3 linked regions of the Caenorhabditis elegans genome follow. The protein of the gene in region 1 purifies or fractionates together with the protein of each later gene. This does not show direct contact. Each region holds a gene or a part of one and is shown on either strand. Other genes may lie near its edges. The genes, in order: K05F6.8, ule-2 and F36D3.5.

The links.
Region 2: the proteins of K05F6.8 (region 1) and ule-2 fractionate together in Caenorhabditis elegans (co-fractionation; one large-scale study listed by BioGRID). This does not show direct contact.
Region 3: the proteins of K05F6.8 (region 1) and F36D3.5 fractionate together in Caenorhabditis elegans (co-fractionation; one large-scale study listed by BioGRID). This does not show direct contact.

Annotation. Positions count from the first base shown.
Region 1 is NC_003280.10:1,566,717-1,569,798, reverse strand, and holds K05F6.8 (F-box domain-containing protein), read left to right. Parts: upstream 1-2,052; coding exon 2,053-2,264; intron 2,265-2,312; coding exon 2,313-2,475; downstream 2,476-3,082. Other genes in the region: fbxb-49 (F-box domain-containing protein), read right to left, coding at 236-1,145, 1,197-1,279.
Region 2 is NC_003282.8:14,633,099-14,636,637, forward strand, and holds ule-2 (Uterine Lumin Expressed/locailized), read left to right. Parts: upstream 1-2,027; 5' UTR 2,028-2,032; coding exon 2,033-2,152; intron 2,153-2,271; coding exon 2,272-2,736; 3' UTR 2,737-2,926; downstream 2,927-3,539. Other genes in the region: irld-4 (Receptor L-domain domain-containing protein), read left to right, coding at 27-29, 79-148, 205-353, 533-848, 1,156-1,271.
Region 3 is NC_003283.11:16,513,419-16,517,177, forward strand, and holds the start of F36D3.5 (BRCT domain-containing protein), read right to left. Parts: upstream 1,823-3,759; 5' UTR 1,717-1,822; intron 1,672-1,716; 5' UTR 1,643-1,671; coding exon 1,576-1,642; intron 1,066-1,575; coding exon 1-1,065. Other genes in the region: F36D3.4 (Major sperm protein), read right to left, coding at 3,175-3,399, 3,479-3,736.

The sequences.
Region 1 (3,082 bases):
TAAACTGATTTCGCATGGTTAAAAACGTGCTGACGTCACACAAAAAAATTCACGCATTTTTTTTTGTAGATTAAACCGTAATGGGACAGCCTGACACCACTTAAACTTGTCGGCTCCCCCTTTTCGTTGCTTTGGTTTTTAGGGTCCTCTACGATGTAGTATACGATAAAATAAAACCATATTCAACTTGGACTTGTAGATCATTAAAACATTTATTTATTGAAAGCAAGTACAGTTATTCAAATAAAATATACTCAGAATCATGAACAGCTACAAAAAGCTCTGCATAGTCGAAACGATGTTCTAAAATTATAGTTGCTTTGATGCCTTGGCCCAGGTGTATATCGATTCCTCCGACTTTAGGAGTCATCCCCGAATCTACTTCGAACAATTTGAATTTCCTGTTACTTGGTGCAATCTCATGAGGAATTCCTTTTAGAATAGTGTCTTGGTTGAGTGCAGGGCCACGCTTTACACTGCGAAAATATTCAAGCCCAGACTTCAATCCGGCAATCCAATGTTTCAAGAACACATTGATCTCTTGTTCTGTTAACTCTGGATAGAATGTATCAATGAAAGAGCAGGTAACGAAAAGTAGCTCGTTTAACGGTAGGTAGATTGATGAGTTAAGCTTCTGAAGCTTATTGGGCAAAACTTGGCGTAGTTCCAATTGTTGAGAGGAGTCTAATGGTTGGGGATTGGTTGCATGTAAACCTAGCTCAATGTTTGGTGGGAATGCGGAGAGAAGTTTGATCATCAGCGGGAATTGGGTGGCGAAACCAATGGAAAGCTTTGAGATCTTGACATCTTTCAAACATTCCGTAATCATTGGTAATTGCGACTCATTCAATCCTCCATCCGAGAGAGTTAAATGTAGAGTAGCGATTCTTGATATGCGGAAGATATACAGAAAGTGTTTCAACCAACTTTTCGCATCAAATTGTGGCGCAGAAAAACGAAATTTCGATTCTGCCCATATATCGATGTTCCCATTTTGAAATTGGTAAAATACATTGCCTGGCCTACTCAGGCCTTCTATATAGCCAATCGAACCAGTAAGTTCCAGATATGGTCGATGGTTTTTGAAGATGTGAAACTCTCTGACAAGTTCTTTGGTTTTCTTAGACACCATTGAGATGCACACTCTGAAAAAGGCATCAATTATTAATGGGTGTTAAAAAGAAGAAAAAACTCACTGCTCGCTTTCAACCATGTTGCAAAAAACCTTTTTTAGGTTTTTCTGGGGGAGATTGAGAAGAGGAAAAGAAGATGCGACCATTTTGAGAGAAGGTATGAGAGCAGAATGAGCTGGGGGTAATAGTAACAGGTCTTCGTACAAGACGCTAAGATGTAATAAATTTATTGATTGAATATGTCAACTATCCCATCTAGAAGTTGATAATGTTTCCCATACAGTGAGCTCTGGAATGTACCAATAATATTGATTTGCCAGGATCACATTGTGCTCAATTATCCTAATCATCTTTCAACAGTGCCGCAGCCATTGTGTGAGAATGTATTATTAATATTGATTCACAGGATCACCTTTTAATAATATCCTTTACTGGTGAGCACCTGCCGCTCACCCTGCCCATTCCATTGTGTTCTGGTCCGTAAGAGATCCAGGCTCGCATTTCTGGGGAGTGTTGCGAACGTAGGCTGCCAAGTTTGGCTGGCCTTTTTGAGCTTCAAGGCCTGAAATTTGTTATGGCAAGTGGTGTGGTATATTCAAGACTTCTTTGAAATTAAAAAAAAATGTATTGGTTAAAAAATTCAAATGAGATATACATATTTCGAATTACGAATAGGTGCGATGCAAAGGTGTGCGGCAAATTTGCCGAATTTGCAGAGCTCGGCAAATTTTGAGATTTGCCGCACACCACTGGTGCGATGCCTAACAGGTTTAAAGGATTAAATGACGATCCGTTCTCCAAGTGTTTCCACTACGGATCTGGGAGTCAGGTACACTGCCTGGTGGTGCTCCCACTGGGTTATAATTTAAGCCACGTCCTGGCCGGGGACTGCTGTTAGTTTGTGTTCGCAATCCTCATAATGATCGCCAGCAAGATGCCCAGAGAAGTACGATTACCATCCTTTCAGATAGAAATCATCGGTGCTATGAGCACATACAAGATCTACTGCCAGTCACTACTGCCCCTATCTCATTCTGCTCTCCTAATAATGGTTGCACCGTCTTTTCCTCTTCTCAATCTCCCTGAGAAAAGCCTAAAGGAGGTTTTTTGCAATATGTCAGTAGTGCAACAGTGAGTTTTTATTTCTTTAAATAATATTTATTCTTAATAATTTTTCAGAACATGCATCTCAATGATTTCCGAGAAAACCAAAAATTTGGTCAGAAAGTTTCACATCTTCAAACAAGTTCAAATATGGTTGGATTTTTCTGATTCGCTGAGATGTTATATGAGCCTAAAAGGAATTTCTCTCTCTATTTGGCATACTCCAATGTGGCATTAAAAGAACCGCGACTGAAACTGATTGAAGAGTGTTTGAAAAACCTCAAAGTGTTAAACCTTTCCATCGATTTCTTCAAACAAGTCCCGCTTGTCGTCGAGCTCTACTCCAAATTTTCACCGACCAATTAGCTCAGCTTACGCCAGCCTGTAGATCAACAATTGAACTCTACTCAATTTTTGGAACTACGCCAAGTTTTGCCCAAAACACATCAACAACTTTCATTAGATATGTACATTCCGTTAAATGAGCTACTTCTCACTAGTTGCTCATCTATCGACATATCTCATACAAAGTTAACAGAAAAGGATATCAATGTGTTCTTGAAACATTGGATTGCCGGAATGAAACCAGAACTTGAGCATTTCCGACTTCAAAAAAATGGTCTGCCTCCTTCCTAAAGCCCCCATCTTGCCACACACACGCGTTTTCGGTGTTCAAAAAATGTTCAAAAAATGTCCGAAAAAATGTAATACAACTTTGAACGTTTATATCTCGGCTCTCACGGAACCGATTTTTGAAATTCTTTTTTCTCTACATTCACAAAATATAGCGACGTGTGTTCATCTAAAAGGGGGTTGATTTTGGAGCATCCTGTCGGCTCCACAAG
Region 2 (3,539 bases), on another chromosome or scaffold:
ATTTCCTGGACAAATCAACAATCAGAATGGTGAGTACTTTTTTTTCTAGAAAATCGAACAATTGAAGGTATGTTTCAGTTTTGCATTCTAAATTTTCTACTGCTCCCTCTGGTTGTCTTGGCTCAAGTTGGAAGCTCTTGTGATACAGGTAACGCTTATTTAAAAAAAAATTTCCAATTAGATATTTAGATAACTGTATTTCAGATGGAATCCCGAACCAATTCCACTGCAACATTAAAAATTTGAAACGTGACGCTCAGAACTACCTCGAGTGGCCTAACTGGTGTCAAGTGTTTCATGGAAATTTGCATTTGAGAGTGATTAATTTGAAAGCTGCAAATTTTGAGAAATTGGTAAGGTGACATGTATGTTGGTTTCTGAAAATGCAGCGTCCGACATCTTCCGGGCGCAGGCACTCTGTACTTTTTATCAAATGATGAAATTTCTCGAATTCTGTTCTAAGTGTTATCTATCTGAGTAATGTTGAATTTCTAAAATAAAGAATCTGAAACCGCATTTTTATTTTTTGCAGCGTGAAATCCGTGGAACCCTTTCACTAATCAATTCTCCATTCAATCGAATGCCTCAAATGCCAAATCTTGTCAGTATTAAAACTCATAATTCATTCCCTGGACTCGTTATTCTCAACAATACAAGACTCCGTGATATGCGTGGATTTGTGGATTGGAATAAGGATGTCAAGATTACGGGAAATGAATTTCCAGTTTTTATTTCTGGAAATCTGGAATTGGATACTGTTAACCTGCCAGAAATGTTCCACAAACCATATTCTCCACTTTCGTGTGAAAAGAGATTGATGCCAAATTATAATATTCAATTTGCAGAAGGTGAGAATTGAGAAAAATATATAACAAGAAAAAATATTATGCGGTTTCACATAGTTTTCATAAGGACTCAGTATTTAGTTTACTATTAGTTGAGTAGTTAAAATGAGCATAAGTGTACGTTTGTTTTCATAATAATCCAAACTATGACTTATGATAATTATGAACATTTTCATATTTACTATTTTTTTTTACTGTTTCAAATACACTACTCGCATCTGCCGTTCTTCGTTTTAGTTGATTTCGAAGCACGACAACCCATCAATTTCATTTTGAGAGTCACATTTACCATATCTAAATCAATTTTCAGGAATGTCGCTTGCTGCCGTCCTATTCACATTGATCATCTGTGCTACAATGTTCCTTCATCCATTGAGTATGGGAAGTACTAACGTCTATTTTGTGCCTGGATATCATAAATATTGAAATTTGCAATTATTTGGATAAATTATTGATTGTGTGTGTAATTTTTTATATTTATGATGTAGTAGAAAGTGATTATGCTTTAAAAAAAGTTGACAACCGTTTCAAGTTGTATATAAGTTTTCATGTACAAAAATTAAACTCAATATTTTGATACGAGATGGAAACTAATTCAGTGCATTTAAAACCCTGATATCTGAGCGTTTGGCTTAAAAATTATCTAAACTTACAAAACAGTGATAGTACAATAAAAATAGATACAACACTAAAATATTTCAAATTGAGCATTTATCGAAATTTCTTGCCACGTAATACTCCGCGTTTTGGAGATTTCAGCTAAAGCTGAGAAGTTTTACAGGGGTTATCACAAAATTAGTTTATTTGGGCACATTTCTAATAGTAAGTCACAGTACTTTAGTGGGTAACGTAGTAATAAAATATGAATTTGCCTAGTACTACATTGTAAGAACGTTTAAATAATATTTAACTTAAGGCGATATTTTTCCAGAAACGTTAACTATATTTTTGGATGGAACAAGGAAAGAAACTGTAACTGGAAAAATTTTCCGGTGTTTTTTTAATTTAACACCGAAACAGTGAAAAAATTGTTCTGAATTAATACGTTTTCAATTGAAAAAAACTTTTCTTCGGGAAAATGAGTCAGATGTTATATTAAACTTTAAAATTGATACAAACAAAGAAGTACCGATTCAATTGTTTTTCAAAAATATATAAGACCGTTCTGAAACAGAAAAAAATAAATCATGATTTTCTACATTCTTTTCCTGTTACCTCTGGTCTCCGGGCAATGGGGTACCCCTCCACCAATTGTCACTAATGAGCAATGTCAAGTGGAATACAAATCGATAATGAATTGTGTTAGGGTAAGTCATTGATTCAGGAGCGCCCCACATTTAGCAGGCTCTGGCTAAGACTAGTCGCATAGCCAACCCGCATGATGTAGGGTGCTGCTAATTTATTTTCAATCGTATGCCCTTTTCAGAATCCACGTCTTTTCACAAGAATTGATGAAATTCCCCGTCCTGAGAAATCAGAAAATCTTGCACTAATCGAAGAAGTCACTCACGTCCTAGATTGTTCTGGATTCTTAAATTGCAATAGTTCAAGAATTTTGCAGTCATATTTGTTCAATCAACGTTGGATTCTAGACGTACTTCATGGAAAACTGGAGCCATGTCTTGGGAATGGAGTTTTACGCAAGATTTTTGATTCTTGTGATCCTGCTCCAAGTTACAAGAATTTCAAGAAATTCGATGATGATGATTGCAATAGGATTACTGTGTACCTACCTTGCTTTGTGAACGAACTGAAAAACCAGCCAACTTGCAAAATCAGTGATGTAAATCTATTCAAACGAATGATTTTTGCAATGAGATCCGGTTGTGTGATGGGCCATCAAATGAAAATTGAGTTCGACAACTATGGAATTATTGAAAATTCATTTTAACTTAAATCTTGTTACAATAAATGTGTGCTCAATGCCATGCAATATATTTGAATTATTTAAACCGAAATACTAATGTTTACAATTAACTTGTTCATATTTTCAATAAGTTCAGTTTCTAACTTTTGTAATGATGAAAATTATCATGAGATTAATAAAAGGCGGTTTCAAATTACATTCATTTGGAAACTATACATGGATTTTTAATAAATCATTGTCAAATAATTTACTGTTTCATGATGTTAAAAAGTAAACGCCAAATGTTTATTATTTGAATTGCTTTATTTTTTAACCTTTTAAACTTTTTAAAACTTTATTTAACTTTATTTATTTATTTATTTGTTTAAACTTTATTTTTTAATTTTTAAACGCACATATTTAGGAGGCGCATTGTTCATTTGCTGACGTTGAAAATTACAAAGAATAGTGAATTCAGCATTCTAATGAAAAATTCCAGTTTGTCGATATTAACAGAGTTAATGAAACATGATGGGAAAATTTAATATTTTTAAATTGTTTCAGCACTATACAAAATGTGTCCAGCTTAAAACCAGCAGTACAAATGGTTATAGGTATTCATTAAATATTCAAGCATAATATAAAACGTTCTATAGAAAATTTCGGCTTGCCGTCGACGCTGTATATTTATTTTGGCTGAATATTTAAATTTCGTAAAACAAATTCCTCTTAAAAACCAGTAACAGGTAAGATTTAGATTTATTGAATAAACATTTTCAATTCAATATTTTTTGTGGCCTATATTTTTAAATTTTGTGAATTTTTAAAAAGTATAAAAATTCTTAAAC
Region 3 (3,759 bases), on another chromosome or scaffold:
CGGGTAAGTTTTGAAATCCTTTGGTTACATGCATTAATTCTTTCCACGACGAATCCAAAGCAACCATTTTTCCCGAAATTGTTTGAAATATTTCAAGAGCATTACTCAGTGAATTTGTACTTGAACCCTTCGCAACATGCTTCTTGAACCAATTACTATTCAAATCACCAGCAATCTTCGAAAAATCTCCAGAGTTTTTGAAGCCAGCAGTGAACAACAAATTTTGCTTGACTGGCGAAATATTATGAGATTTTGCTTCCACGATTGATTTATTGAGTTGAGCCATTGCTTCAAAAACCATTTTCTGACCGAGAGAGCTTGGGCTATTCCAAAGCGGTTTTGCTGTTTGAAAAGTAGATAGAACTTGCAAAAGTGTACTATTCATCGATGACAGGGATTCTCGGTGTGTTTCAAACCAAATTATATTGTTCTTCCCATTTAGCAATTGTCGGTAGACTGCTAAATCCTTCCAATTGGACAATTTTTCTATTTTGGAACCCAAACTTCTCAAGCTATCAATGCATGTGTTCATCAACTGTTCCTCCATATAAAAATTATTGATAATTTCAGCAACCGTTGCAGAATCCGGGGTCACTCCTGTGTCGTCGTCAAAAAGAGCAATGAAATCTTCCAACAAGGATAACTTTGCGCATTTAGTGGCAAACATTTTGTAACTACTAAGAGTTCCGGCTTCACTCAACAACTTTTTTGTTGAGATACTGGATAATGCTGACAAGCTAGACGATTGCTGTGAGAAAAACAATATGAAGCTCAAAGTGGCCATCATAGCCTTAACATCATCATCCGACAAGGCTTGTGTATCATTTTTAGATAATTGAATCAACTTCGTGTATTCTTGGTGCATCCTTTTTAACTCCAAACTTGCCGCCTCCACATTTACGTTCATAACCGTGTTCAACTGATCGCTGGGCATATGAAGAAGTTCTGATAGAAGATCACGAGCTTTGATTTCCTTCCTAATTGCTCCAGCTTGAAGGGAAATTGCATTGGTGACACGCGATAGAATCCGAAACTGTTCACTGATTGCTTGGAGATCGGATGAAGCTGGAAATGTTGAAGGTAACAAGAATAGTTTGGTCAAGCTTATTAGTTTCATTTTTCAAATGTTTTTGGATATGCGAGTAGCTTTCCCAGGCCTCGCAGAAAGAACATTTCAGATTTCAGCAACGTCACCGGCGCATCTTTTCTGGTAAACCTTTTAACTGTACTCACAACCGACGGCGCCTCAGATAATTGAACCAAGCACGAAACGCCTACAAAACACGCATGAGCATCTGTTTGGTGATGGCGCGTTGCTGGGTGGTTTGCTGACGACGCTTGCGTGATTTTCAATCGCTGCCTGTGTGTTTTAAAGCTGCCGGCATGGCCTTCCTGCAGGCATCCTTCAAAAATCACGCCGGAAGTCTTTAACCACGCTGGCAACGCTTGAAAATCTCATTAGCAAAAGGATCATCAGCCAGCTGCACACCCCTGTCACAATGCGCCAGCGTGTAGGCCTGTGAAACGTCGGTCGCGGAATTTGTTAAATTGAATACCATCACTCCATTGACTCACCTGATTGACCGATTTTCATACATCCTAGTTGAATAACGATAATGAAATAAAAATTAGTTATTTGCATTGTTGTTAACACCAATTTTGAACTTTTCTCTGAAATGTTTCGTTTAAAACTGAACATCTGAAATGTAAACTCACCGAAAGATTATCACTTTTTTTGAAAAGCAGTAGATTGGGAAGTTGTCCACATCGGCAATGACAGGGATGGAAGATTTCAATGACGAGATAAGACGATCAAATGAAAAGTCACGGAAATAAGGAAAACGTGCAAATTTATTTTATTTTTTGTAAAAGTTTTTCAGAAGAAAACACGTTTGGATATTTTTATAAATTTGGCAAATCTTTTTGAAAAGTTTGAACGCGAGAATCAAACTCAAGTTTTCAGAAAAAAAATACTTGGGCAAGCAATTCAAGTGGAACACCTTTCAAATAAAATTGGAGCGAAATTCCATTTATTTCAAGCATTTTGCAGAGAAAACTGTAATATCTCAAACTACAAAATTTGCATCTCTTTAAAAAATTAAGATGACCAACCGAAAAGATGACATATCGAAAAAATTACTATCAACTTCGAAATTGCTTAGCAACTTGGAAATCGATTTTTTTTTAATCAAAGAGTTTTATAAAAAGTTTCCCGGATTTGGATTCTTGGTTGTTTAAAAATATTATCGGTACGTTTTTTTTTACCTAGATATCAATTTTCAGACGCGCTAGAGGGGTTTTTGTGTCGAATTCCAATTTCAACAATTCATACAGGCCCCACAAAAAAACAAAAATAAAAATTTTAGAATTTTGGAAAAGTTTTCATAGATTTGGATTCTGCCAAGCCGCCTCTAATAAATGCCGAGTGTGCAGACTCCGCCCCTTTTTCGCGTTTTTTGACACTTTTTTGGCTCGCGAAAAAATGTCCCCTTTTGTTTTCATTAATAACTACAGAGCCGTGTGACTTCATGCTCTAATATTTGAAATCCTACTAGAAATATTTTGCCCTTTTGTGGAGCAGAAAACGGCACTAATTTTGGAGCAAAATTGAGCCCAGGGCGGCTTTCCCCAGTTTGAAAAAAAATTTTTTGCTCTTTTTACCCCCAAAAAACCATGTTTTAATTGAATTAAAATTCGGGTTTTGCTCTGTTTTATTTGAAACTTATGTGCAAGATACTACTCAGAGAGACGGATTTTTTGAAAAAAGTTTGAGTTTATAAGTGCAAAAGGAAAAAAGTTGTGATAAAACAAAAGTCCAAAAAATGGCATTTTGCCAAAAATAAAAAAAAGAGCCCATTTAACCCGTCTTGGCTCCCCCGTGTTCACATCTAATAAATTTTTCAGTAAGAAAATCTGTCATAGAGGGACTTTCAAAAAGTAGCAAGTTGTTGATCTCTGGAATTGTTTACAATTTTTGATGTTCGATGACCAGAACACTATAGTATCTTTGAAGATTTTTTTCATTAAACAAACAAGATATAAAAACACAGATCACCTCCATCAAAATCTTTATTCAAATCAAAATTCATCATATTTTCACACACAATCAAAAAAAAATTCATTTTCGAGACACTTTTTCTTTAGACAGGCTGATGATGGAGGGCTGGGCATAGTCTAGTTGGCAACCAATGGAATGACGGTGAGCTCGCGTGGTGGATCACTCTCAAAGACTCCCTTGGCACAATTCTGCTCAGTAGAAGCATTGGATGTGAGGACAATCAAGTGATCAGTCTTCTCGACTCCATTATGACGGAGCACATCGATCGAAAGCTTGTCACCGGGCTCAACGAATCCGAACACTGGGTTGACGCGGTAGAGAAGGTTGTCGGAAGTTTTGACCTGGAAAGTTATATTTTTAATGAGCCTGAGCCAAAGCCTAACTCTAAGCCTAAGTCTAAACCAAATTCCCTCTGCTTACCTTGAATGCCTTTCTCGACTTGGTGTTGTTGGCAATGCTGACTGTCTGAACACCTCCCGTCGCTGCGAATGGAAGCTTGTTGGGCGAAGCTCGAAGAGTCGACGACTTCACTGAAGCAGCACCCTGTCCTTCCGGGAATGTGTACTTTGGCTGATTGGGAACCAACTTCAGAGCTTTCGACTTCTCGGATTTCTCACCGGAATTCGATTTGATGGACACGTCGGAAACATCTGTCGAGTTGATCGGTGGGCAGAGGTTCTAGAATTAATAAAAGGTTTTTT